Linked DNA regions of Oryctolagus cuniculus. The protein of the gene in region 4 purifies or fractionates together with the protein of the main gene of each other region. This does not show direct contact. Links are inferred from orthologs where the notes say so. Each region holds a gene or a part of one and is shown on either strand. Other genes may lie near its edges.

Region 1 (4,334 bases), on a different chromosome or scaffold from region 4:
TGCCTGTCCAAAAATTAAAAAATAAAATAAAGTACATGCAAGGATAATTTGAGATTAGGCTCTAAACCATATATTTTTTTTTTTTTTTGACAGGCAGAGTGGACAGTGAGAGAGAGAGAGAGACAGAAAGATCTTCCTTTGCCGTTGGTTCACCCTCCAATGGCCGCCGCGGCCAGCGCGCTGCGACCGGCGCACCGCGCTGATCCGAAGCCGGGAGCCAGGTACTTATACTGGTGTCCCATGGGGTGCAGGGCCCAAGCACCTGGGCCATCCTCCACTGCACTCCCTGGCCACAGCAAGAGAGCTGGCCTGGAAGAGGGGCAACCGGGACAGAATCCGGCGCACCGACCGGGACTAGAACCCGGTGTGCCGGCGCCGCTAGGCGGAGGATTAGCCTAGTGAGCCGCGGCGCGGGCCTAAACCATATTCTTAAAGAGCTGGCATTTCCTTTTCTGTCCTCAGTTTTTTAATGTTTTAACCTAATATAAGGGGGATATCACAGTACTCTGCTTCGACAAGAACCATGCCAGAGACCAGGCTTAAGCCCCACTAAATATTCAAAAGAGATTTTAAAAAGAAAACTAAGCCAAGGTTCCCATCAAGTGAGGAAGGAAGCAAGGAGAGCATTTCAGTTCTGTTTAACCATAACGCCACAAAACCCTGCACTAAAACTTTGGTATGAAAGTCGTTTCAGTTACCAGTGGTCAGGTCTGGTTGCCTTGACTCTAGCTAAAGGACTCGGGACACACACTTGTTGAAGGGTCCAGTTCTATCCACATGCGGCACAGCCAGCTTTTATGTATCATCATCCCCATTTTCTCCTTAGACAAGGTAACAATTTCCAGTGTCCTAAAACACAATTATTTAAACTGTTACCATATACCCCAGTAATAACTAAAATACTGTGCTGCCAACCTTTGGAAGGGTAAGAATGCCAACCAGGAACACAGATCATAAGTAAATCCCAGTGTACCGCTGCAAAAAATAAATTTGGTCTGCCTCTGTTTGACCTACTTCCTGGTGTTTTACTCACCCATTCCCGTTTTGTTTTTTTAATCCATGTAGCTCTCTATTCCTTTCCAAAGAGCTGTCATGAGGGAAATACTCAAAATTGTTGACAGCATTTTTATCATTCACTTAAAAAAAAATCCACAAGTAGCCACAGGCAATAGAATAGAGCAACAGCAAAATTAAGTACTCAGTTTTCAAGGAAAAGACTTTTTTACTGCAGTCCCAAGAAATGTGACGTGGGGTCGGGTGACTTGAGGCGAGAAGTTTACTTCTCATACACTTTAAACGCAACGCTTTCCAAAGCTCACAGCCAACAAGCACTTTCTTCGCTAACCTACTACACAGTGCACTCCCGGCGGTTCTGCAGACGAGAGTGATACGGGGAAGGGGTGTTTGGGTTTGGCCTCAAGTAACACCCAGAACCCGGGCAGCTCGTCTCTCGGCAGCCGCGAGGCCTCCAAGCGCTCGGCTCACCAGGGCGACCCCCGCCCGGGCGAGCAGAACCGCCGCTGAGGCAGACACCGGCCCGAGCGGGTGGGCGGCCGGCCCCGCAGCAACCGTAAGCGCCGCGGCGCGCGAGTGGAACAAAAACCTGTGGCGAGAATGAGGAAGTGCTCGCTCCCGCCCGCCCCTCCCACCGGCAGACACCCGAAACACGGGGGGTTTGACAACGTGCTGGGGGCGGAGGAGGGGGCAGCGCGGCAGCCCCGGCGCCCTGGAGCCACCCGGGAGCCCTAACAACTCGGAATCCGGCTGCCTGGCCCGAGGAGCTAGGCCTCGGGGACCGAAGCTCGCTGCACCCTGCCGGGAGCCCGAACAGAAAAGGAGCAGTTGAGGAGCTCGCGGAGTTTGAGGAGGGTGCAGCCCGCGCGAAGCCAGGCCCAGGGGCCCCAGCTGCCACCCACTGCGCCGCCAGGCCCCGGCCGGGGGCCACCCCGGGTCTCACCCCGCACCGAACCTGTGCGCTTCCAAAAGCCTTCGCGCCAACGCCTTCTCCTCGGCGCCCGGAGCCTCCGCGGGCCGTGGGGAAAGAGTCCGTCCTCTCCCGCCTCGCCCCACTTCCCTGTCCCGGCTGCCTCTTACTCCCCGGAGCTCCGGGAAACGCTCCCTGTAGCCCCAGGTCCACCCCCGTTCCCTTCTCCCCACCCCGGCACTCGCGCTCCCAGGCTGACACCGCCAGCCTACTCCAGCCTCTGACCCCAGCCCGCCTCACCTCAGGCGGTTCCGGTGGCGCTGGACACAGGAAACTCCTGGGTCCCCGACTCCGGCTCTCCTCGACCCCCTCTTCGGTTAACTCCGCTTGTTTCTCTACAAAATGGCGCCGGAGGTCGCGCGCTCACGTCGCGGCCTTTCCCCTCCCCGTTCCCATTTCATCATTCGCTGCCCGCCCGAGGAGGGAGGGCCCCCGCATCAGCCAATGACCTCAGCCCGCTCGCCGTTCCCGACCAATCACCGTCAGGGACCCGCGGATTCAAACCAATCACAAACTATCACTTGCAGAAGTCAAGGAAGAAACCAGGCTCCTGCTAGCAACTACCAATCAAGACCCTTACTTCGCGGTCTTTGGCCAATTGCCGCTCACCAGCCCCGAGGGACCCGAGTCGGAGCCCTCGCGCCTGCGCTCCAGGCGAGGGCCAATGGGGAGAGGCTGATAACTTCGATTCGGGGCTTCCCGGACTTCCCACCTGCCCTCGAAGTCTTCAACCAATGGGGGCCAGCGATTGCCTCCGAGAAACAAAAAATCAGGGGGAAGCATAACTCCTCACCACCCTGCGCGGGAACTAGTTCGAATCGGAGTGCGACGGCCTTCCTCAACTTTCCTTCTTCACTTTCCTTCCTCTTTCGAAATGTCACGGTCCAGCACACTGTGGGGATGCCCAGTGGAAACATTCCCCTCCCCTCGGGTCCTTTTGGAGGGGAACGCCAGCAGGCAGAAAGCGAGCCAGGTTGGGACGCTTTGAATCCTGGGAGTTGTAGTCCCGCGCCTCACGCCTTTGCGGTCGCAAAAGTATGCGTTGCCTCCCGTCACCTGCGGCGCTGTAGGAAGAGCAGTGCATGCAGGGGAATGTAGTCTCCCACGCTCCCCCCCAGCCTTATCTTGCTTGGCTTTCCTTAAGGGAACTTTCACTTCTAGTCTACCTATGGGAGAAGTGACTCCTTTGGAAAGAGATAAGGAACTCAAGTTGTCTTTCTGGCTGAAGCCCTGGAAGCGCTGTGGAAACGATATTTCCTGTCTCATACTACCTTTTGTGCCTAAACACACTTCGTAAAACTTGTGGCAAAAGTACATAAACTTACTATCTTAACCGTTTTTAAAGCCTGTGGTTTTAAAAAAAAAAAAAAGATTTTTATTTATTTATTTGAATGGCAGAGTTACAGAAAGGCAGAGGCAGAAAGAGAGAGAGTCTTCCAACTGCTGGTTCACTCCCCAAATGGCCGGAACTAGGCCAACCTGGAGCCAGGAACCAGGAGCCAGGCCCGGTCTCCCATGTGGGTGCAGGGGCCCCAGGAATTGGGCCATCTTCTACTGCTTTCCCAGGCCATAGCAGAGAGCTGTATCAGAAGTGGAGCTGGACCGGAAATTGAACCAGCACCCATATGGGATGCTTACATGGCAGGCAGTGGCTTTACCCACTATGCCACAGCGCCAGCCCTTATCTTAACCATTTTTAAATCTGCAGCATACTATAGTGTTTCCCATATTCATAGGTTGTATTACAGACTCTAGAACTTTTCTTTTTATAATGTGTTTATCTTTTAAAAGACTTATTTATTTATTTGAAAGTCAGAGTTACACAGAGAGAGGAGAGGCAGAGAGAAGTCTTTCATCCACTGGTTCACTCCCCCGGATGGCTGCAACAGCTGGAGCTGCACCGATCTGAAGCCAGGAGCCAGGAGCTTCCTCCAGGTCTCCCACGTGGGTGCAGGGGCCCTAGGACTTGGACCATCTTCTACTGCTTTCCCAGCCCATAGCAGAGAGCTGGATGGGAAGTGGAGCAGCCAGGACTCAAACCAGCACCCATATGGGATTCTGGCGCTGTAGGCAGGGGCTTTACCGGCTACACCACAGCACTGGCCCCTAATGTATTCATTTATAAGAGACACAGAGAGATATTCCATCTACTGGTTCACTCTGCAGGCAGATGTCAGAAGCTGGGAACTCAATCCAGTTCTCTTGCATAAGTAGCAAGAAATCAATTACTTGACCTATCACTGATCCCTCCCAGGGTGTGTATTAGCAGGAAGCAGAAATCATAAACTGGGAGGAGAAGTGAACCTGGGACTTGAAACCAGGCATGCCAACATGGGATGTGGGCAACCCA
Region 2 (3,685 bases), on a different chromosome or scaffold from region 4:
TCAAAGGGGGACAGACACAGAATGAGACATAGAGATCTTCTAAATGCTGGTTCACTCCACAAATGCCTGCAACAGCTAGGACTGAGCCAGGCCAAAGCCAGGAGCCTGGAACTCAATCCATCTCTCCCATGTGGGTGTCAGAGACTCAGCTGCTTGAGCCATCGCCAGCTACCTCCCAGGTGCACATTAGCGAGGAGCTGGAATTGGAAGCAGAGCTGGGACTTAAACCCAGGCACTCTGATTTTTCCCATGATTTTTTTTTTTTAACCATGAAAGAGAAAGCAGATGAGTTGTGTAACGCATATTCCGAATCGTGCCACTTCCCCTATCTCTGGTTCTCATACTTTACTTCCCACTGGCTTAAGAAATCATTCTTAAGATGCGAGCACCTGCAGCCACTACTTGCAAAACAGGGAGGGCTTCCAGACTGAAGGAGGAGGCTCCTGTTCCAGTGGGGGTGTCTTAGAGCTCCCTTGACCCCCCTTGCTCTGGGGCTCATGCGTTTGTTTATTTGTCTTTTTGCAGAGGTGGAGTTCAATGTATCAGAAGCATTTGTGCCTCTTGCCACCCCAAATTCTAATCACTCATCCCACACTGGAAACGACTCTGACTCAGGGACCCTGGAAAGGAAGCGGCCTGCCAGCATGGCGGTGATGGAAGGAGACTTGGTGAAGAAGGAGAGGTGTGTTGAGAGCTGGTCACTTCCAAACCAGCAGTAGATTCCATGCGGGAGAATCGTTAGGCCTGCAGTATCTCGTCTGGGCACAGTGAGCCTGTGATTCGAGAGTGGCCCCTGTGCATCTGTGACTGGAAGAACCCACGCAGTTTTCATGTTGTAGCTCATTCTGAGCCTTAGCCTGACTGTAGAGTAAAACATGTAGCTTGTCAGCTAACATGTGAGCTTAACTTGGTGGTCTCTGGGCAGCCCCACAGTGGAACGGCATCATACACACGCTACAAATCCACCCAACAAGAGAGGAAGGAAAAATAATTAAATAGTGTGGACTTGTGTCTGGGATGAATGTGAGAACAGCTCACCTCTCTCCGTGAGTTGTGTGATTTGACATTGGGTGGACATTGGGTGGCTTCACAGTCAAGCCAGCCACTGAATTTGACGTTCAGGCGAAGCCTCAGTATTTGCCAATTCGGGAAGGAAAGGGTGGTTGGGCCGAGTGAGAAGCAGTATTTCCCTATATGCTTTGTGGGAAATTTGTGGGACTCTCTGAGGGTAATTAAAACCTTGTGAATTTCTGGCCTTCAGCTGCCAGCCTTCCCAGTGTGTATGATGCAATGCTGCTGTATTCACCTGTAATACAAAGAGCTAAGAGGCCTTCAGAAGGAACGCGCTTTCCTTGCATATATGTAACAATATTGCTGCAAATAGTTTCACAAACTGAACAATATGCTCTTGTTTTTTTCTTAATCAGCAAGTCCTACAGCAAAATGTTTGTTTTGTTTTGCTTTGTTTGGGGTTTTTATGCTTAGCAAAGGAAAATGTTTTACTGTGCTATTCTGTCGCTCTGAAACCTACAGTTATTCCGTACAGAAGTTTTGCTCATCTGAGCCCTTCCTCACACACATCAGTAGTGTTTCCTAAAGACAGACGCTACCTGTGACAAAATAAGCTTTCATAGACTTTAAGTTGTAAAATGCAGTGCTCTGAGTCCAGTGAGCCTGTGACACACACTTGTCAGCCGCCCGCCTGGGTGCCAGCCCACCCAGTAAACATGAGTCCAGGGGCCATGGAAACTTTCAAGCCCAGGGGCTTGAAAACTTGAGTTTTCAAGTTCGGATACCAAGGGCTTCTGTGAGAAGCGAGTCTGCCTTCCGTGCGGTTCTCCAGACACCAGGCCCTTCCCAAAGCGCTATCTTCCAGGCTTATGCGTCTTTGCGTTTTCACAGGCAGCTGTGAAAGCTTGCCCATCGCATCCTAGCGTCAGGACCTCCCACTGCCACCAGGTGGCATCCTGGCCTCAGCCTCCACCACACTCCCCGAGCACAGTTTTGAGATGGAATTCGGTAGTGTAGAAATAAACACCTTAGCATCCTGCCACTCGGGACAAGCCTGCCCGTTTGCTCTCAGCTGCTTCCGCCTGGGACGTTGTCCGCGCTGCATCTGTTGGCTTGGCTCAGATTTGAAGCCAAGTTGAGTTGCAGGCCTCGGTGACAGGGGTGACCATTGATCTGGTCTGTGCCGCTTCGCTGCATGCCGGGCAACTTGGGTGGCCGTCCCACGTGTGGTTTGAACACGTGTGGACCGATGGGCTTCTGTCTCCGTGGTCGGCTCGCATGGTGTGTTGACTGTTTCTTCTCTCTGTGTAGCTTTGGTGTGAAGCTTATGGACTTCCAGGCCCACCGGCGGGGTGGCACTCTAAATAGAAAGCACATGTCCCCCGCTTTCCAGCCGCCACTCCCACCCACAGATGGCAGCACCTTGGCTCCAGCGGGCCCAGAGACCCCTCCCCAGGGCTCTAGGGCTGAAAGCAGCTCAGGGGGTGGGACTGTTCCCTCCTCTGCGGGCACACTGGAGCAGGGGCTGAGCCCGGGCGACAGCAGGTAAGGAGGCCGACTTCTGCTGGGAGTGGAGGCTGGGGGCCCCGGGGCTCTTGGCACGTGGTCACCTTTGGGTCTGGCATCCACGCCCAAAGAACCACTGTGGTATGGAGTGACCCAGATTTGCTTTCACTCCTCCAGTTGGCAAAGGACGGAAGAAGGACTGCAAATCCCTTGCTTCCTTTTCTGTTTTGTGGGGAAAAAAAAAAAAAAAAAAAAGGCAGCACTTGTGTACATTCTTTGCCATGCTGCTTTGGTGCTGGAAGCCAGCAGGTGTCTAACAGTAGGACAGACTTTGTTTCCTTGTCTGATGTGTAACTGTGTGACATTTGCTTCTTGTCCTCCATTGTGCTAACTAGTCAGCATTTCAGTGTAGCGGCTTGTCAGGTCATAATATTCCCGGCATTCATTGTTTCATTTAATCAGACATCTGTGGAGTAACTGGTACGTGCCAGGCATCATGCAGGCACAGGAGGTGACTGTGACTTCCCACACCCCTTGGGTCTTTCAGTTCTGCATGGAAATTGACACATAAGTAAAAGTTAGAAAATACAGTGGTTTTTTTTTTTTAAAAAAAAAAAAGGCTTATTAGGTTGCTTAACCATTTGAAAAACCACCAAGAGTGGGCTCAGATGTATAGCAACTCTACAAGAAGGTGCCTTCGAACCTGAGATCTTCACTTAATTTGTGTTCTTTCAGTTCCCCACGCTGCCCTGAGCAGATGGCCCCCGAGGCCACTGCAGGTGGTGTCTGTCCTGCAAAAGAGCCCTGCTGTGTGCTGGAGTTTCCTTGCCATTTGCTTTGTGTTGGCCACCTGCAAAGCACTAAGTGTATTTGAAATAAAATGTGAAGGGTCTCTAACAAGTTCATGGAAAATGTGCATTATGATAAACATATGCTTGGGTTTCAACTTTTTTTGCACCAAAATAACCATCTTTTAACTCTTTTTCCATGAACTTTCGGAAATCCCCTCATTAAAGTGTGTGAAACCAGGCTGGCCTGTTTACCCATACGTTTTTCCCCCGGGCGCGGAGATGCATGTGCCTGGGGAGATTCCTTGCAGTGGCTGAGGGAGAGCCCACAGGCTGTGAGTCTGCTTGTGTTCGGTCACCACTGGCCTCTGGATGCCTTA
Region 3 (3,685 bases), on a different chromosome or scaffold from region 4:
TTACATTTTTGTTTTCTGTCACGTGTGTGAATAAGTAAAGTTATTTTTCCTACAGCCTTGTTTTCTGTCATGTGCTATAATGTTCTTTGTGATAAATATGCGACCCGGCAGTTATACGGCTATTGTCCATCATGGGCATTAAATTGGGACTACAGGAAAAAGGCCATTATTCAAGAAATCTTGAGCTGCAATGCTGATATCATAAGCCTTCAGGTAAGTCGTACAGAAGTTGTATAAATAAATAGCATAAATTCCTCAGCATTAATAAAGCAAGGTTCAGGTATACTGGTAGAAGTACATGGGCACATTTGAAGTCATAGCTTCAATGGTTCTTAAAATACTGCCTATTTTCTTCTTTTATTGAACTTTTTTTTTTTTTAAAGATTCTATTGATTTATATGAGAGGCAGAGTTACAGACAGAGAGAGGGAGACACAGAAAGGTCTTCCATCCACTGGTTTCATTCCCCCAAATAGCCGTAACAGCCAGAGCTGGAAGCCAGCAGCCTCCAGGTCTTCCATGTGGATACGAGGGCCAAAGTACTTGAGTCATCTTCTGCTGCTCTCCCAAGCCATTAGCAGAGAGCTGGATTAGAAGAGCAGCAGTCTCGACACAAACTAGCTGTACCTGCTTCGGTTTGTAGCCCAGCACTGCCAAAGCAAATAGGTTAAGCTGGGTTATAATCATTTGCTCTGACAGCTAAATACTCACCTTCTGTCTCACTCCAGTGTCCCTATACACTTTTTTAATTGAATGGCAAAGTCATTAAAATTGTGATATTGCCAAGGTATAATTTTGCCTTGTCATCAGAATAATTAGGGCATAGTGGTCAAAGGATCAGACCTAGCATGTGCTATCATTGGGTTTCCATTACTTCTTTCGTAAGGACATGTGAAATCCTGGGCAAGTCGCTTTCTCCTCATGGATCTGAAGTTGTGATCTGTGAAGCTCTGTTCAACTCTTGATTCTTAGTTCACATTGGTTTGACATTTATAGGCATATATGATTGTCCATTCCTTACTCCTGAACAGTAGGGAATTGACCCTGGCAACTAGTATCTGTAAAACGACAAGTAGATATTCAAGTTTCGTTGAAATGATATTACATTTTTTAGTTTACAGATCTGTCCTTTGGAGTTACTTCAGGCTCTCAAACTATTCATATAAAGTTAGTACCTAGAACTGATTTTTGTCTTGTGTAATAACTTTGCCATTTACCATTTTTCAGGAGGTTGAAACGGAACAGTATTACAGTTTCTTTCTGGTAGAACTGAAAGAACGTGGGTATAATGGATTCTTTAGTCCTAAGTCTCGAGCTAGGACAATGTCAGAACAAGAAAGAAAACATGTTGATGGTTGTGCAATATTCTTCAAGGTAGAAAAGTAAGTCATCTTAAAACTTTTTTTATAAAGATTTATTTATTTATTTCTGGGGTGGGGAACCTTTTTTCTGCCAAGGGCCATTTGGATATTTATAGTACCATTCATGGCCCATTAAAAAAATTTTTTTTTTTAATTAAAGACTGATTTATTTATTTGAAAGGCAGAGAGACAGAAGTCTTCCATCTGCTGGTTCACTTCCCAAATGGCCACAACGGCTGGAGGTGGACTTGATCTGAAGGCAGGGTCCAGGAGCTTCTTCCGGGTCTCCCAAGCAGGTGCAGGGACCCAAGGACTTGGGCCATTTTCCACTCTTTTCCCAGGCCACAGCAGAGAGCTGGATCCTAAGTGGACCAGCTGGTACTCAAGTCGGCGCCCATATGGGATGCGGGCACTGCAGGAGGTGGCTTTACCTGCTACACCACTGTGCAGGCCCCCTGGGCCATAAAAATATCAGCAATTAGCCTGCTATAGATTTACTGAATTTCAAGTCCCGCCTATGATTGCCTTGGGAGGGTCAGACCAAATGATTTTGTAGGCCAGACCGTTGATTTATTTGAAAGGCAGAGTGACAGAGAAGGCACTCCCCAAATGCCTGCAAAAGCTGGGACTAGACAAGGTGGAAGCCAGGAGTCTAGAACTCCATTCTGGTCTCCCTCATGAGCTGATCATTATCTGTTGCTTTTCCAGGCACATGAGCAGGAAGCTGGATCAGAAGAGAAGCTGGTGCTCAGCTTGGCACTCTGATATGGGGTCATGGCATTGCAAGCAGCAACTTAACCTGCTGTACCACAATGTCAGCCCCTTCATCTTGTTTTCTAAAAAGAAAAAAGTTCTCAAGGGTCATTATTTGATAAATAACAGAAATTTATTACTCAAGAAAACAATGCTATTGATTTAGGGGTGTATTTTTTGCCTTCTTAAAAAAGATTTATTTATTGGGGCCCTCATTGTGGCATAGTGGGTAAAGCTGCTGCCTACAATGGCAGCATCTCTTATGGGTGTATTAGTGTCCTTCCTGGCTGCTTCACTTCATCCAGCTCCCTGCCAATGGCCTGGGAAAAATAGCAAAAGATGGCCTGACTGAAGCTCCTGGGTTTGGTCTGGCCCAGTCCTGGCCATTGTGGCCAACTGGGGAGTGAACCAGGAGATGGAAGATCTCTCTGTATCTCCCTGTCTGCAACTGAAGTTTTCTAATAAATAAGTCTATTTTATTTTAAAGATTGACTTGTTTATATATTTGAAGAGTGGAGTGAGAGAGAGAGAGGGATCTTCCATCTGCTGGTTCACTTCCTAAATGGCTGCAGCAGCTGGGGCTGGGCTAAAGCCAGGAGCCAAGGAATCCCTACATTTCTCCCACCTGAGTAGCAGGAACTAAAGTAGTTGGACTATCATCCACTGCATCCCAGGTGCTTTAGCAGGACGCTGAATCAGAGTGGAGTAGCCCAGACTTAAACTGGTGATCTGATATTGGATGCAGGCTTCCAAAGTGGTAGTTTATACTGCCATACCACCACACTTGCCCTGAGTTTGTTTTTATGTATTAAAAATAACCTTGTTTTGCAGAGATGTTTAAAGTGCTGCTGTTTCTTCAGGTGTTTACTAGGATTTAACTCCAGTTGTTAATTGTAACTAACCATGTAGTTAACATTCCTCTAGGATGGTAGAGGGATTCCTAAACCCATATTTTGGGAAACAATTGTTTAAAAATTACAAAATGGGATATACCAGTATTGAAATCTAAAAAGAAGATGACTACATTATCTTATAAGATTTTAAAAAAGTTATAAAGATTTTTTTTTTTTTTTTTTTTTTTTTTTTTGGACAGGCAGAGTGGATAGTGTGAGAGAGAGACAGAGAGAAAGGTCTTCCTTTTCCCGTTGGTTCACCCTCCAATGGCCGCCGTGGCTGGCGCGCTGCGACCAGCACATTGCGCTGATCCGAAGCCAGGAGCCAGGTGCTTCTCCTGGTCTCCCGTGCGGGTGCAGGGCCCAAAGACTTGGGCCATCCTCCACTGCACTCCCGGGCCACAGCAGAGAGCTGGCCTGGAAGAGGGGAAACCGGGACAGAATCCGGTGCCCCGAACGGTACTAGAACCCGGTGTGCCGGTGCCGCAAGGTGGAGGATTAGCCTATTGAGCAGCGGCGCCGGCCAAAAAAGTTATAAAGATATTTCAAGGTGTTATTTGTGTTGGTCACAAACTGAGAAGAGCTTTAAATGGATGTGGGATACTTGATAATAGTTTGGAAGGTTTTCCAAAATTTGATTTAAGTGGTAATCTGTTAAGGGAGTTTGAGTAGCTACATT
Region 4 (4,433 bases):
CGCAGCCCCCTTAGGCCCTGCGAGGGCGAGAGACCACTGAGCTCTGGGCGGACAGAGCCAGAGCCGAGGTCCTCACCTGCCCCTCCCACCCTGCTCGGGTCCTTGGGGTCCGTAGAGGACTGAGCAGGAGGCAGAGCCTGCATGGGGGCATGAGAGGTGGCTGTCAGTGCAGCGAGCTGGCCTTGCAGCCCAGAGGCTGCGTCTCCTCCGAGCCCTGTTCCCCACCGGGTCCAGGAGGCAGGGGGCTGCACGGGGGGTGAGATGCTGAGGTCTGACGTGTTCTCCACCGTGTGTGGCCAAGGGCTCTGCTGTGCCGTTGCTGGCCACCCCCCTTGTCCCTATCCAGTGGTCCCAGGCCAGCTGAGCCACTGCGGAGCCGCCCACGGTGGGTCTGTCTGGGACACAGGTTCCAGCCAGCTGCCCTCTGGTTCCCCTTGGCCCTTCTCATCCTGACTTCCTGGGCCAGAGCCCAGAGACCCCAGCGTCGGGCCCTCCGCCTCCGACCAGACCCTCTCCCACCCCGCCAACCCTCTCCTCCAGCGGCGGTGGTGCCTGCGCTCACCGGCAGCGGGGACGCCACGCAGTCACCGTCTCGGGCTGGCAGCCTCCGGGTGCACCCAGCCCCCACGCCCTGCCTGCTTCTCACCTCTGAACGCTCTCTGTAGATCTATTGACGCTATCCCTGACAACCAAAAGTTTAAGCAGCTGCAGAGGGAGCTTTCCCAAGTGCTGACCCAGCGCCAGATCTACATCCAGCCTGATAATTGAGCCGATCCAGGTACCCTGCCTGCCAGGCGTGACAGCTGCCCACTAAACAGCACTCACCAACCGCCGGGCCCTGCGCGCCCAGTTAAACCTCCACTAACCCCCGTGCGCTCTTGGCTGCTGGGCGGCCGTATAACATGTTGCCTTGGCCCGCGTAACGGACACGTTCACGTGTGTGGTGTGTGCTGTGCACTGAGCGAGGTCCCGGGGAGACGGGTGGTTTCAGCTTTGGCTCCAGAAGGAGCCCAGGCCAGGGAACTAACGCGGGCTCTGTCGGAGGCCGCTGTGTGCACGCACAGCTGCCCTCTGCTCCCCACATGCCTCGGGGTGGCCTTAGGATCTCCCCCGCAGCCACACACACCCTGCCCCGTGGCACAGGGACTGAGGCAGCTGGCTCGGGGGACCCCACTCTCCGAGGCTCAGGACAAGCGTGGGGGGAGCCGTCGTGCCCCTGACCAGATGCTGCTGCTCCAGACCGGCTGCTGCTGGAGCGGCCTGGTGCCGGGGCCGTGCCGATGGCGGAGCTGGAGCCTGTGCCGGGGCCGTGCCGATGGCGGAGCTGGAGCCTGTGCCGGGGCCGTGCCGATGGCGGAGCTGGAGCCTGTGACAGACACGGACGGATGAGGGCGCTCGGCGCTCTTGCGGAGGGCGGGGGCTGTTAGAATGAGGCGTTTGGTGACCCAGCCAGCAGGGCCGCCGAGCCCCCAGGCACAGGGTCCGAGGCCCGAGGCCCAGCCCAGAAGAGCTGCTGGGAAGTCTGGGGGTGGCGGTGCTTACTAAGCAGCCGGGGCTGCCGCCCTTGCACGGTTGCGGGATCTCACGGCCAGGGCGTCTCAGCCGCCAGCCTCGCCTTGCGGCGCTCGGGCAGCCAGCAGGGGCCGTGGTCTTCCTATGTGGAGTGCGGCCGTGACCCTCCCAGTGACGGCCCTGCTCCTTCGGCCTCCAGCTGCTCCAAGCTCACGTCCACAGCTCTAACCTGGTTCTGACTCTGGGCTTGGTCCTTGCGGGGCGGGGCTGGCAGGACCCAGCGCCGCGTCCTGTCTCCCCAGGAGAGCCAGCTGTGCCGGGCGAGGGAGCCGCTGCTCTCTGGTCACGCCCTCCGACGTGAGCTCAGTGAGGCCCGCAGAGCACTGCCCACGACTGGGCGCCTGGGAGCCACCACCCTGCCTTTGGCCGCTGCAGAACTCGGGGCAAAATCTGCCTCAGCTGGCGTTTCCCACGGGCGCTCCTCGGCCTGTGCTGACGGCTCGAGTCCTGTCTGTGCCCACTCTGGCGTCTCCAGGACTCGGTCCCCAAAATCCAGTCTCCTGGGCCCTGCTTCGCTCTGCTCTCCCCAGCACGCACACGTGGCGGGGACACCTGACCCTTCCTTTCCATGGTTTGCGTGGGTCTGACGTCAGACCTGAGGCTCTCACCGCACGGCCAGCCCAGCGTGGCGCCCAGCGGCCCCTGCACTGAGAAAGTTAGCCAGCCACTTTGCGCCTGGCCGGCCGTCTGTCCAGTGCGTGTGACAGGTCAGGGCCGTGCCGGGGGCGTTTCTCCAAGCTCCAGTTGCTCATCTGGGATGCGTGTGGGGGAGAGCACTCAGGTGGGTGACGCCCACGAACTGCAGCGTTCCCAGTCCCTTTAACCCCACCCCACCCCGCAAGCCTGGGGTTCGCCAGCGGGGGCCCAGGCCACCCTTTCCTCTGCCGCATTTGGAATCCTGGCAAGGTTTTTTCCGGGCCAAGCTGACAGCTGCTCACGGGCCGTGAACCCAGCATGCGCCACCGTGCAGCCGCTGGTTTCCGGAACACTCGCCAGGCGGCAGCCCCTGCCCCCTGTTCTCCGCAGGGCCGGGGCCGAGCCTCCTCCTGGGCCCCTCCTAGTCCCAGCAGCTGATTGGAAGCGGGGTCCTTGCTACGTTGTGCCTGGAAGCCTGGAGGCCACCATTGGGTTCCGCTAGCTGCGGTCATGGTCAGCCTGGCAGACACGAGCAACTGTCCCTGTTGGCTTCCCCTGAGCCGCGCCCCCTGCAGCAAATCCCAGGCTCCCGGTCCCCAGGCTGGGCCTGTGCTGACCTGGGAGAGGGGTGCCCGAGCCCACACCCCAGCACCTTGCCGGCCACGTCGGGGAGGCGCGAGCCCCACGGCCCCGTGCTCCTGCCACTCGGCCCGCTGTTGACGCCTTGTCTCCCTTGCAGGTCTGTGCAGACTTTTGCAGACAAATCTAAACAAGAAGCGCTTAAGAACGACCTGGTGGAGGCTTTGAAGAGAAAGCAGCAGAGCTAAGCCCCTGCTCCGCGCTAGCCGGACACGCCGCGCACTCTTTAGGTTCCTTTCCTAGAAAACTCGTTTTCTGCTCCCTGTCCCCGGCCCCTCCCTCCCCGACAGGCCCCTAACAACGCGCATCCTCGACCGCACAGCGCCATCTCCCCAATAAAGCCCAGTCACCGCCCTGCTCCGGCTCCGAGGCCTGCTTCCCACCGTTCCGCTGTCAGAACTCTGGTGTCTGCATAGAGCCCGCGAGGGCCCGGTCCGCCCCGCCCGCCCCCCCCTTAGGCATAAAGACGCTGTCCGTCAGCCCCTCCCCTCCCCCTTTTTGTTACATTGGTGTAAAAAATGTAAAACAAAAAAATTTTATGAAATAACTGTGGTGTGTGAGAGACAGAAGGAAACCTGGAGGTGCGACTCCAGTGCGTTTGGGAGTTGCTTGGGCGGGGGGCGGGGGACAGGGGCCAGCCCTGGGCGGAAGGAGAGGGGCTCAGCCGTCCTGTGCAGGCTTGCCCCTGTCCCTCGGAGGCCGCGGGGTGGGGGCGGGGCTGCTCTTCTGGCCAGGTGCTTTTCTGTCAATTTTTACGGAATGCAAAAGGAGTTTTTTGTTTTATTTTGTTTTTTTGTAAAGCTTAACAAAAAATATCTACATCTTATACTTGAGCCTCCATACTTAAAAAAAGGAAAAAAAGAACAAAAAAATTAAATAAAAAGAAACTGGGACGCAGTTAGCACTGGGTCTGCCGTCTTCTTTCTCGCACGCCTCCCTCGAAGGCCCGCGTGGCCTCAGCCGGGAGGGGGAGGGCTGACTCCACGGTGGAGACGCCCCGGCCGCTGAGCAGGTGCGGGGCTTGCCGGGGAGTGGGTTCCGGAGCCCTGGGCCTCCTTGCGCCCCGCCTTCCAGACCAGCCTGGTAGGGAAACGCGGGGCGGCTGTGGAGCGCCTGCGCAGGCCGGTCCTTGGGCACCCCCGTGCCTCCCCAGCCAGGTGCCGGCACGCCCCTTTCAAGTGGGAGAGTGGGAGGAAGCAGGCTGTGGGCTTGGGGAACCCGCAGAGCTACAGGATGGGCCTTTCTCCCCCCCCACAAACCCCAGGCCAGAAGGTCCTCGCCTGCTGCCCACAAGACCCTACCCCCACCCCGAGTGCAACACAGCACAGCACACGGGAGCTGGAACCACAGAGCCCTGCACTCGCGTCCTCTCCACCCTGGGGGGTTCCAGCAGCTCTTGCCACACAAGCGGAACAGATGGGCGACTGAGACGCTGCGATGCTGGCCTCGCTCTGGTCACCGCTGTGCACCGCACTGTGCCGAGGGCCTGTCGCTCACCTTTGTCAGGTGGCCAGAAGTCATACGTGAAACCTGGAAGTCGCAGCTGTGCTGTGCCAGGCTGGATCTTGCTCTGTCTTCTGGAATCT
Region 5 (3,685 bases), on a different chromosome or scaffold from region 4:
CTTACTCATATTCTAAATTCAGGCATAGATTTGGTGGCTAGAAGATAATTATCAGTTGGTTTTGCTTCTCTTTAAAGAATGATATTCTGTATATATTTGTGACTTACAAGGAAAAAAATGACGCTAAGTTTGACATTCTTGAATTTCCGTTTTAAATGGTCACCATTACTCACCAGAAGTTGCTTTCCATCTTCATTGAGAAGCACAGTTTCTATTGTCTGCTGAATATAGACCCCTTCATTGAGGTCATCTAGATATCTGCGAACGAAGCCCCAGAGCAAGTTATTTGTTTTAACAGAAACTTGAACATCTTGAAGAAAGAACAACTTTTAAAAAACAAGACAGGATACCAGATATTCTGGCCTTCGACAAGTTTGTGGTGTTTCATGCTCTTAAAAAATAGCATTATAAGCCATAATTCATAGTGATTTAGGGCCACAGGTTGATATTTATGCATGTTCCAAGTAAAAGGTCCTGATTTATGAATTCCAAGTATCTTAGGAATAATGACATAACAGCTTGGAATAGTTATTTAAAAGCTAATGATAATGAATTATTAAGAACTGCAGAAGACACAAAGCTAACTAAAAGACTAAGTTCCTTTCCTTCCCCTCCCCAAATGTCTCATCTATATATAATATGCTGGAATATGCTACTGAACTATAGGACTGCAACCTATATACTAAGTTTATTATGATACTTCACAGGAACAGGCATTATAAGATTCAAAAGTATTAAAGATGACTACTGCTACAAGAAAGAAAAGGCAATTGCAAATAGCAAATCTGGTAGTAACAAAAAGATGTACTTTCTACTGTGACCCTTCTCCCTCTTCACTGTTTACTATTAGAATAGGCTGTTACTAAGTTCATCAATACCTGTTTAAGTCTACAATATATTTATGCACACTTTGAAACGCTAAATAAAATCTGGTCACAATTTCTATGTTGTTTTCACGAAATTCTTCATCTAAATCCTGTAGCTCTGGTTTAGCTTCCAGTTTGCTTTCCCATAACTCTGGACCCTACGAAGAAAAACACATTTACATGAAATGTCAACAAAAGCATATGTGTTGGCAACAATTTCTTAGTAGTCTTTTGAAAAATTTGTCCTTATGTTCCTCAATATCAAAAACTTAAAGCAGAGAAACAGAAAGTCATGAAGATAACAGAAGCCTAGATATAAAATGCCTTTGACAGTAATGAAGTTGAATTGTAACCAAGACAGGCATGCTTTGAAGAGCAGAACAGTCAACGTGAAATACAGAACAGCAAACTTTTCTTTTTAAAATTTGATTATATCATGGGAAGACTTCCATGCAGTACTGTCATCTGATTTTCAAGTTAATAGGTGAGGGGCCGGCACTGGGACATAGCAGGTAAAGCTGCTTCCTGTAGTGCCGGCATCCCATAAGGGCGCCAGTTCAAGTCCCAGCTGCTCCACTTCCAATCCAGCTCTCTGCTATGGCCTGGGAAAGCAGTGGAGGGTGGCCCAAGTCCTTGGACCCCTGCATCTACATGGGACGCTCAGAAGCTCCTGGCTTCAGATCGGCCCAGCTCCAGCCACTGCGGCCATTTGGGGAGTGAACCAACGGATGGCAGACCCCTCTCTTTCTCTCTGTAACTCTGCCTTTCAAATAAATAAATATATAAACAAACAAATGAATAGCTAAATCTTAACAAAAAAAATAGCTGGTGCCACATTTGGTTCAAAAGTTTTGCTCTGTAAATCTCTCTATAATTACCTAACCTCTTAGAGTCTCATGGTTCCAAGGAAAACATGCTTGTATAGAAAAGATAGCAACAAAAATGCTACAGAAAGAGATTACCTTAAAATAGCTGAAATCAAATATGATATCTCCATATTTCTGTTGATCAACTCGGTCTTTTAACCTGAACACAGCAGGAATGAACTCCGACAGCCTCAAGAGTTCAGCAATGATGGCATTGCCGCAGGAAACAATCCTCAGGATGGCCTGGCCACAGAGGTTGTTCTCGGCTAGAAAGTCCAGCATGGTAACAGGGGTCGAGTACGCTGTCCGGACGATGAGAACAATGAGCTTGCTTCAGAGCCAGAGTCTGTAGATCAATAGATGAAACCAGGTCTGTGGATCGACCAGCTGCTCCATGAAACGACCTACATCTAAGAAATTTTAAAAAGGTATAAAAGTTTCCATGTCAAAGGACGTACCTGCATATAAACATGGCATCGTATTTTCCCTCAATCCCCCTCAAAAATTCAACTCCCCTAAAGGCTTATAATGAGTTCTGATACGGGGAGAAGGGCAAATGTTATTGACTGTTTATGTGGAGGGACTTCAACAGATTAACATTCTTGACATCTTTCTCAATCTTTTATTCACTTCTCATAAAGAAAGACAAAATTGTTCATTTTTGAGCTAGGGCAAAGGAATACATATGCAGTTCCAATGCACTCTAATTGCAGAAGCAAATCTATGATTGAATATAATAGCCAATCATTGTAAACACTACCAACAGAGCTGACATATCTCTACACATATCTTGAGGTATCTGCCCCAAGTATTTCCTAGAAATGGAATTGCAGGGCTAAGGTACAGCATGTCCAAGACTGCTTTTAAAATTACAGATGCCAGAGGCAGGCACTGTGGTACAGTGGGTTAAGTCACTGCTTGGTATGCTGCCTCCTGTATCAGAGAGCTGCTTTAAACTGGTTCCTCTGCTGACACCCCCGGGAGGCAGCAGATGAAGGCCTAAGTACTTGAGTCCCTATCACCCACATGGCAGACCCAGATGGAGTTCCTGGCTCCTGGCTCCAGCCTGGACCAGACCAGGTTGTTGCGGGCTTTTCAGGGAGTGAATCAGGGATACAAGATCTCTTTCCCTCTCTTTTCCCGCCTTTCTCTGTCACTCTACCTTTCAAACAAATAAATCAAAGAAAAGAAGAGAAAAAGAAAAGGAGAAACAAACATTAGAGCTACATTCTACAAAATTCTGGAAAGATGATTTATAAATAGTAAATTAAAAAGGTCCCAAATCTCACATAACTCAGCACACAGGTGTCTAGTTCTGTTAGCACAATTATTTTATTTCTCCTTTATCTAACGCACTGAGGATGGTCAGATCACTTAGTGCACTAAATAATTACTGGCAACAGGTCATTATTGAAGGCAACGGTTGCTATGCTTTACCTTGCCACTCCTTGCTGAGCACCTGTTTGCCAAGCTGGATATGAAACTGTTTAAGCAACTCACTTTTTTTTTAAAGATTTTTATTTATTTGAGAGGTAGAGTTACAGACAGTAAGTGAGTGAGTGAGAGAGAGAGAGATTTTCCTTCCGTTGGTTCACTCCCCAAGTGGCCGCAATGGCCAGAGCTATGCCGATCCAAAGCCAGGAGCCAGGTGCTTCCTCCTGGTCTCCCACGCGGGTGCAGGGCCCAAGCACTTGGGCCATCCTCCACTGCCTTCCCGGGCCACAGCAGAGAGCTGGACTAGAACTGGTGCCGCAGGCGGAGGATTAACCAAGTGAGCCACGGCGCTGGCCCTGCAACTCACTTTCTAGTGCAGAGGTTCTCAAGTCTGACTGCACAGCACAATCACTTAGAATATTATAGTTTCTGGAAGAAGGTTAGAGGCAGCCCTCAGCACCTCTATTTTTCACCCAGAACATTGGAGTTCCTTGTAAGAAGGTGACAGGCAGTCCTAAG
Region 6 (3,685 bases), on a different chromosome or scaffold from region 4:
CTCAAGTCTACAAAACAACTGTAATTAGCCTTTAGGGGGAATGGCCCTATAATTATCAATAATCAACCTTTATATTCTGAGTTATATGATTATTTAAGTAATTTTTCTGTAATTATTCAGAGGAAATTACCACACTTTTTATATAAAGAGAAAAAAACTCAAAAGTGGTCTACCTATCAAAACTTCACAGTTGGCTGGCGCCGCGGCTCAATAGGCTAATCCTCCAACTAGCGGCGCCGGCACACCAGGTTCTAGTCCCGGTCGGGGCACCCGATTCTGTCCTGGTTGCCCCCCTTCCAGGCCAGCTCTCTGCTGTGGCCAGGGAGTGCAGTGGAGGATGGCCCAAGTGCTTGGGCCCTGCACCCCATGGGAGACCAGGAGAAGCACCTGGCTCCTGCCTTCGGATCAGCGTGGTGCGCTGGTTGCAGCACGCCGGCCACGGCGGCCATTGGAGGGTGAACCAACGGCAAAAGAAAGACCTTTCTCTCTGTCTCTCTCACTGTCCACTCTGCCTATTAAAAAAAAAAAACAAAAACAAAAAAACCACAGTTTGAGACTGAGGCTTATAAAATTAAATTAAGACCACCTTACAATCAATCGTAAACACATTCCCATTTTGAATTGTGTCCTACCCACTAGATTACATTACGTTCTGAATCAGAAAAGCTCTAAACACACACAAACTGTTCAAAAATATTTCAATTTTCTTAATTTTTGTATGTATACCTAAACACATGTCATTACCATGTAAGTATTTTAGGATAAGTGTATTTCAATACCTTTTATCCTCAATGTCAAAGGTACAAATGAATGAATTCAAAATTAGTGATATATTAGCATTAACTTGTCTGATATATAAAAAAACCACCATTTTCTTTTAGTCTTAGGTTTATAGATTCATCCATGCAGCTTCATATCAATTATGCATTACCTAGGAGTTCTTCATCAGTCATTCTAATTGTATCATTGAAAACCTAGGTTTGTACCTTCACTGTTCCAAATACTTCATCTTTAATGTGGCCACCTCCAAACTCTTTTTTCAGAGTTGCTCTTGTTGCTGCATACAACATTTTTTGACGAACCTATTCAGTTGAGAAAATTCACAATTAGACATGAAAAGACATCATTAAAAAAGGAATATTCTGAATGTAAAAAAAAAATCTACAAGTACACTGAAAATAAACTGTGCTAAAACTGAAGCCCACTGACCATAACATGCTAAACGTGTACAAACAACCATAAAAACATGAGCCTCCACATTATCGATGACTATTAAGGTAGATTTCAATCTATGTAACTTTGTTAAAATGGAAAAAATATAAATTCTTAAAAACTCCTCATTTGTCAAAGCATAAAATGAGCTCAAGAGTAACAACCTACTTAAAATAGGGTCTTAAAGAGAAAACACTGAAATGAAGTAACCTTGCTGGCAACATTTTACTCAAAGCTAGATCAGATATTACTAATCAGGCTGTCAAGCATCAACTATCCAGGGCTCACTTATGGCATATACCATTCTATCAGGGATGTGGGATAAAGGGAAATATACTACACACCAATAAAACAGAGTCTGGAGAGATCTATGGCAAGTTGCTAACAAAAGCTACCAATTAATAGAAATAATTTCATAATCCTGCAGGGTCAAATGCAGTATTTCTTTGTGGGCAGTGTTTGTATTTCTTTAACTGACACAGAATACTTGTCCATTCAGAGGGTACCACCAGGCAGCGTTTTGTTTTGTTTTGTTTTGTTTTTTTTGGGGGGGGGGGGCAGGCAAAGTTAGAGAAAGGTCTTCCTTCCGTTAGCTCACCCCCCAAATAGCCGCTACGGCTGGTGTGCTTCAGCTGAGACGCCGATCCAAAGCCAGGAGCCAGGTGCTCCCATGCGGTGCAGGACTCAAGGACTTGGGCCATCCTCCACTGCACTCCCGGGCCACAGCAGAGAGCTGGACTGGAAGAGGAGCAACCGGGACAGAATCCGGCGCCCGACCGGGAGTAGAACCCAGGGTGCCGGCAGGGCAGGTGGAGGATTAGCCTATTGAGCCGCGGCACCAGCCACCAGGCAGCATTTTAACCCAGGGATACATGTGCAATGATCTGGTCACAGTAAGGAGTGGAGCTGTCACTAAGACATGTATCACTTCTGTGTGCTGGATCATATCCTCATCTTATCTTCTGTTCTATTTACCAAGTCTACAATCCTAAAAGAAATACTTGCTGTGCACATGTCCATTAACAATGTATGGGGAATAATAACAAAATGTAATACTCAATTAGTCCTCAGATTTAATACAATTATCTCTCAGGACAAAATAGCTTCATTCTTCAGAGGCCCATATCATTTAATATACCAGACAGTAAAATTAAAAATTTTAGGTAAATGCTAATTATTTTGATTTCAAGGGCAAGACTTCCGAATCTAAGTACATTATCCTGATTTTACATAAGCAATTCAAAGAATTTCTCTATGCGCATTTCCTTCTATGGGAAATGACTACTGCTTCTTAACCTTGACTTGGCCTAGAAACATTCAGAAAAATGTCCTTCTATGATTTAATAAACAAATTTAAAAATTACTTACATGAGAATGATCTGGAGACCAGGCAATGAATATCCATTCATATCCCTGGGCATTCTGAGAATCTAACCTGAATAATATGTAGCATGGCTGTTTGTCCTCCAACAGGGGTAAAATAAAAGGATCATAATCCTTATCCCAAGAGTCTAAAGGCTGACGAGAGGAGCCAATCACAAGTTGCTCTGTGAAAAGCAGTATTTAAAGATATATAAATGGTTTGAAATACCAAGTGGTAGTCTGATAAACACTAGGAGAATAAATTAATATGTAGTTATTTCCAAATTACTGTTACACCAAAAGTTGAAAAAAAAAGGTGGTAACAGAATATAATTACAATATAAAGTACTATTAAAACAGATATTAAGATTTTACGAACAGCATGATTGAAGTATTTAATATACAGCACAAGAAAGGAACACATAAAAACGATCCTAACAGTTAAGCTGAATGGTTAAATAATGGGTGAATACAGTTCTACTTTCCAAAATGTCTGGGCTATAAATTATCAACAAGATATATTTAAATAACTGTACTGCCGAGGCCAGCGCCATGGCACACTTGGTTAGCCCTCCGCCTGTGGCACCGGCATCCCATGTGGGTGCCGGGTTCTAGTCCCGGTTGCTCCTCTTCCAGTCCAGCTCTCTGCTGGGGCCCGGGAGTGCAGTGGAGGATGGCCAAAGTGTTGGGCCCTGCACCCCATGCGAGTCCAGGAGGAAGCACCTGGCTCCTGGCTTCGGAATGGCACAGTGCCGGCCACAGCAGCCATTTGGGAGGTGAACCAATGGAAGGAAGACCTGTCTCTCTCTGTTTATAACTCTACCTGTCAAATAAATTTAATAAACAAAACTGTACTGTCAGCCAAAAACACCATTTCTGAAATTAACACTTAACTACATATACGAAGGTGTATTACATAAAGTCGGTTTAGCTCCTGTTTGAGCACAATGCTATAGATTTTAAAATCTACCCAGAAGCCTGAGTTGGTACAATCACTGTGTGGTGATATTTGGCAGAATGAGGTAAAAGTGTAACTGAACCTGCACAGAAAACCTGTCGGACTTTTGCACAAAGGTGTTCACTGCGGCAGTATGCCACAACAGTGAAAACT
Region 7 (3,685 bases), on a different chromosome or scaffold from region 4:
ATCAGGAACCTCTTTGTAGTTCCATTGTTGAGGAATTATTTTATTATATTTGCTCTTTTTTTTTTTTTTTTAAAGATGTATTTATTTGAGAGGCAGTTACAAAGAGAGGGAGAGCAGAGAGATTTTCCATCCACTGGTTCACTCCCCAAATGGTCACAATGACTGGAGCTGAATAGATTCAAAGACAGGAGCCAGGAACGTCTTTCAGTCTACTGTGTGGGTGCAGGGGCCATCATCCATTGCTTTCCCAAGCCATCAGCAGGGAGCTGGATCAGAAGAGAAGCAGCTGGGACTAGAACCAGCACATCTATGGGATGCTGGTGCCTCAAGCAGATGCGTAACCTATGGCACCACAACGCTGGCCCCCTCTTTTTGCTCTTATGCAGGATTCTTTGCTTAGTATTTTGGGAAAATCACAAACTCAGGCAAAATCTCTGTAAACAGAAATTACAATCTAATGAGAAAGGGTGTATATAGTGTACATTCTTGGAAACTGTTAGCATGTAACCAAAAGAGAACTTAAGATTTCACTTAATCAAGCTATGACTTATAGATGAGGATCAGAAAGCCTTTATGAACGAAGTGGAAATTGAGCTAGCTTTAGAAGGTAAGTAAACTGGACACTGTTGTGTTTCTGAAAAGATACTTGTTCTTTATCACTTATTTTTATCCTTTTAATTATAATATCTTATTAAATATATGACTGCATAGCAAATTCCAAAATCATGCAAGGTCTTTTACGATGGTCGTAACTAATGAAGCTTAGTAATAGTGGTATTACCTTTTTACTTTGCGTTTTCTAGCACTGCACTCATAATGAACAACCTTACACCTTAGAGGGCAGCTTGACTGTGTCATGTTGGGGCCACGTCTTTCTGAGATTGTTTGGTTTCCTTATTGTGTTGCCTAGTGAGGTGGCTTTGGACATAATGGTTGATGTGGTCCTCTTGCTGAGTGCAGTATCTTAAAACAAGTTTAATAGAATAGAACTGTCTCAATCTGTATATTTCAAATTTCAGTGACTTTTAAAAAAATAATTGTTGTTTTCCCTTTGTTTCTATAGCTTTTGCCTTGTGAACAGTCTTCCCTTTTGGAACTCATAAAGACTGAAAACAAGGTACAGAATCCTTAATCTAAAAATGTCTTAGTTTACTGTTATAATTTGCTTTTTTAAAAATGTTTTTTCTCATGAAACTAGGTCTTAAACAAAGTCATCACTGTTTATGCTGCACTTTGTTGTGAAATAAAGAAATTAAAATATGAGGTAAGACTTTGTATTATTGTCTTAAAACTTTAAACAGATAATTGAAAAGCAGTTATGTACCTGGAAGTGCCCTAGCAGTTAGGATGCCTGTGCCCCACATCAGAGAGCTTGAGTTTGAGGCTGAGCTCTGGCTCCTTGCCTCCTTGCTGTAGCTTCTGCTGATGCAGACCCTGGTAGGCGGTGGTGATGGTGTGAGTAATTGGGTTCCTGCTAGCCACTTGGGTGGCCTGGATTGTATTCCTGGCTTTTACCCTGGCCCGGGTGTGGGCATCTAGGGAGTGAACCAGTGGATGGCAGTGAGAGCTGTCTCTCTGCCCCTTAAAAAATTTTTCTTTCAATAAAACCAATATAAGCTTATATATGCCCAATGTAGAATAAATATTTATTGAATGATTTACTTAAAGTAATAGTAATACTAAGGATGCAGTTAACAGTAGTACTACCATTCATAGAATATGTACTGTGTGCCAGAAACACAATTCATGCTTACCCTGACCCAGAGCGTACATGCGGAATAGATGAGGCTTAGAGAAGCTGCCACTTGCGAAACATTTTACTGGTAGTGATTGGTTGAATCTAGATCTGCCACATTTGCTTCTGTATATAGAACTGAAATTTGAAAAAGCTGTGAATATTTAATGTGTGCTTTTGTTTATCCTTACTCAAAAGCCATTAAAACTCAAGTAGAAATGGTAAAGCATCTTTTTTCCCCTCTTTGACACTATGTGGTTGCTCTCTCTGTTCCCTGAACTAATGGGAGGATGTGGGACCAAGAGGATGATCAGTTAAGATAAAGGAAAGGCTAAAGGAGCCAAGATACCTCTTTGCATATCAGTTATATCTTGGTTACTTTAAGGATAAAATGAATTTACTTATGTTGTAAGCAGTTTTTGAATTTAAATGAATTTGTATATAAATGATAGTCATTTATTAAGTATAGAGAAATAGGAGAGACTAGTAATTTGAAAACAATAACAATCTTTGAAATTATTTAAAATTTTTTTAACAGGCTGAAACTAAATTTTACAATGGTCTCTTGTTTTATGGAGAAGGAGGTAAGTTTTAAAATTTCAGAATTGTAATGTGATGCCTTTTTTACGATTGAAATGAACAAAAAATAATAGACAGTACTACCGCTGCCATGATTAAATAATGTATTAGTGTGAGAAATAATCATTCCAGTTTTTTGTATATTTGGTTAAATGGGTGGAAAAACTGAGTGATGGAGCAGCAATGGCTTCATTTGTGATATTTTCATAGGTTACAAAGCATTGTAACTAGATGAGATTTTTCTTTGAATTCATTAATGAAGCAGGTAATTACTTTTAATTGTGTGATTAATGATTATTTCCTTTTTCTCTTGCATGTAAAAATTTCGTTTTTAATGTTATCCACTTTAGAAGATGTTCTAATGAAAAACACTTTTTCAGTGCTGATTGAGTTTGTTAAAAATATAAATAAAATTCTAAATGTTGTCTTTTAAAGCTACAGATTCTAGCATGGTGGAAGGTGATTGCCAGATTCAAATGGGAAGATTCATTTCATTCTTACAGGTAACTGAATTTTACTTTCTATTGAGGTTTTTGAAAAATTTAAGTACATTACATAATCTTTAAAATTCTGAAACCTTTAGATGCTAAGGATGCATACTCAGAGGGTAAGACACTAACTAACATTGATTATAGTTTAGGAAATCATAACTCTTGAAAGATGTACTTGCCTTTTTAGGGAAATGGGTGTAAAAATAAGTCTGTGTAATTTCATTTATGGACAGTATTTCATCTTGCCTTTTTTTTTTTTTTTTTTTCTTCATTTATTTGAAAGAGTTGAAGAGAGAGAGGGAGACCCAGAGGGGAGGGGAGAGAGAGAGAATATCTTTTATCTGCTGGTTCATTCTCTAGATGGCCACAAAGGCCAAGGCTGGGCCAGACTGAAACCAGGAGCTTCTTCCAGGTCTCCCACATCAGTAGCAGGGGCCTAAGCACTTGGGCCATCTTCTGCTTTTCCCAGGCCATTAACAGGGAGCTGGATCGGCCAGCACACAAACCGGCACCAAATGGGATGCTGGTGTTGCAGCTTTACCTGCTTTGCCAAAATGCCAGGCCTGTCCTCTTGCCTTTGGAAGCATTTAACTTCATACCAGTAGGAAAAGACAAATTATATCACGAAAAGTTAATGGTGAGGATTAAGCTTTTACTTGAGCAATGTCTTTTTTTTATTTTTTAGATTTATTTATTTACTTGAAAAAATTATGGAGAGAGAGAGGGAGAGGTCTTCCGTCTGCTGGTTCACTCCCCAGTTGGCTGCAATGGCTGGAGCTGTGTCAATCTGAAGCCAGGAGCTTCTGGGTCTCCCACATGGATGCAGGGCCCAAGGACTTGGGCCATCTTCCACTGCTTTCCCAGGCCGTAGCTGAGAGCT

What was found.
Region 1: the proteins of CAPZB (region 4) and CNOT1 purify together in Homo sapiens (affinity purification with mass spectrometry; 5 studies listed by BioGRID and IntAct, with this or other methods). This does not show direct contact. The link is inferred for Oryctolagus cuniculus from reciprocal best matches to the Homo sapiens genes CAPZB and CNOT1.
Region 2: the proteins of CAPZB (region 4) and rho GTPase-activating protein 17 purify together in Homo sapiens (affinity purification with mass spectrometry; 3 studies listed by BioGRID and IntAct, with this or other methods). This does not show direct contact. The link is inferred for Oryctolagus cuniculus from reciprocal best matches to the Homo sapiens genes CAPZB and ARHGAP17.
Region 3: the proteins of CAPZB (region 4) and CNOT6 purify together in Homo sapiens (co-immunoprecipitation; 3 studies listed by BioGRID and IntAct, with this or other methods). This does not show direct contact. The link is inferred for Oryctolagus cuniculus from reciprocal best matches to the Homo sapiens genes CAPZB and CNOT6.
Region 5: the proteins of CAPZB (region 4) and WASHC5 purify together in Homo sapiens (co-immunoprecipitation; 4 studies listed by BioGRID and IntAct, counting the BioPlex papers as one, with this or other methods). This does not show direct contact. The link is inferred for Oryctolagus cuniculus from reciprocal best matches to the Homo sapiens genes CAPZB and WASHC5.
Region 6: the proteins of CAPZB (region 4) and TWF1 purify together in Homo sapiens (affinity purification with mass spectrometry; 3 studies listed by BioGRID and IntAct, with this or other methods). This does not show direct contact. The link is inferred for Oryctolagus cuniculus from reciprocal best matches to the Homo sapiens genes CAPZB and TWF1.
Region 7: the proteins of CAPZB (region 4) and WASHC4 purify together in Homo sapiens (co-immunoprecipitation; 4 studies listed by BioGRID and IntAct, with this or other methods). This does not show direct contact. The link is inferred for Oryctolagus cuniculus from reciprocal best matches to the Homo sapiens genes CAPZB and WASHC4.

What each region holds. Positions count from the first base shown.
Region 1 is NC_091449.1:41,893,915-41,898,248, forward strand, and holds the start of CNOT1 (CCR4-NOT transcription complex subunit 1), read right to left. Parts: upstream 2,895-4,334; 5' UTR 2,778-2,894; intron 2,394-2,777; exon of another isoform or gene 2,225-2,393; intron 1-2,224.
Region 2 is NC_091450.1:14,554,955-14,558,639, forward strand, and holds part of rho GTPase-activating protein 17, read left to right. Parts: intron 1-525; coding exon 526-682; intron 683-2,322; coding exon 2,323-2,556; intron 2,557-3,685. UniProt on the Homo sapiens protein: Rho GTPase-activating protein involved in the maintenance of tight junction by regulating the activity of CDC42, thereby playing a central role in apical polarity of epithelial cells.
Region 3 is NC_091437.1:66,992,849-66,996,533, reverse strand, and holds part of CNOT6 (CCR4-NOT transcription complex subunit 6), read left to right. Parts: intron 1-55; coding exon 56-213; intron 214-1,226; coding exon 1,227-1,381; intron 1,382-3,685. UniProt on the Homo sapiens protein: Poly(A) nuclease with 3'-5' RNase activity.
Region 4 is NC_091438.1:151,257,070-151,261,502, forward strand, and holds the end of CAPZB (F-actin-capping protein subunit beta), read left to right. Parts: intron 1-665; coding exon 666-768; 3' UTR 769-778; intron 779-2,947; coding exon of another isoform or gene 2,948-3,035; 3' UTR 3,036-3,748; downstream 3,749-4,433. UniProt on the Homo sapiens protein: F-actin-capping proteins bind in a Ca(2+)-independent manner to the fast growing ends of actin filaments (barbed end) thereby blocking the exchange of subunits at these ends.
Region 5 is NC_091437.1:150,727,808-150,731,492, forward strand, and holds part of WASHC5 (WASH complex subunit 5), read right to left. Parts: intron 2,143-3,685; 5' UTR 2,015-2,142; coding exon 1,829-2,014; intron 1,025-1,828; coding exon 879-1,024; intron 259-878; coding exon 174-258; intron 1-173. UniProt on the Homo sapiens protein: Acts as a component of the WASH core complex that functions as a nucleation-promoting factor (NPF) at the surface of endosomes, where it recruits and activates the Arp2/3 complex to induce actin polymerization, playing a key role in the fission of tubules that serve as transport intermediates during endosome sorting.
Region 6 is NC_091440.1:134,928,802-134,932,486, forward strand, and holds part of TWF1 (twinfilin-1), read right to left. Parts: intron 2,760-3,685; coding exon 2,581-2,759; intron 1,083-2,580; coding exon 987-1,082; intron 1-986. UniProt on the Homo sapiens protein: Actin-binding protein involved in motile and morphological processes. Inhibits actin polymerization, likely by sequestering G-actin. By capping the barbed ends of filaments, it also regulates motility.
Region 7 is NC_091442.1:107,794,118-107,797,802, forward strand, and holds part of WASHC4 (WASH complex subunit 4), read left to right. Parts: intron 1-1,063; coding exon 1,064-1,117; intron 1,118-1,198; coding exon 1,199-1,264; intron 1,265-2,273; coding exon 2,274-2,319; intron 2,320-2,749; coding exon 2,750-2,817; intron 2,818-3,685. UniProt on the Homo sapiens protein: Acts as a component of the WASH core complex that functions as a nucleation-promoting factor (NPF) at the surface of endosomes, where it recruits and activates the Arp2/3 complex to induce actin polymerization, playing a key role in the fission of tubules that serve as transport intermediates during endosome sorting.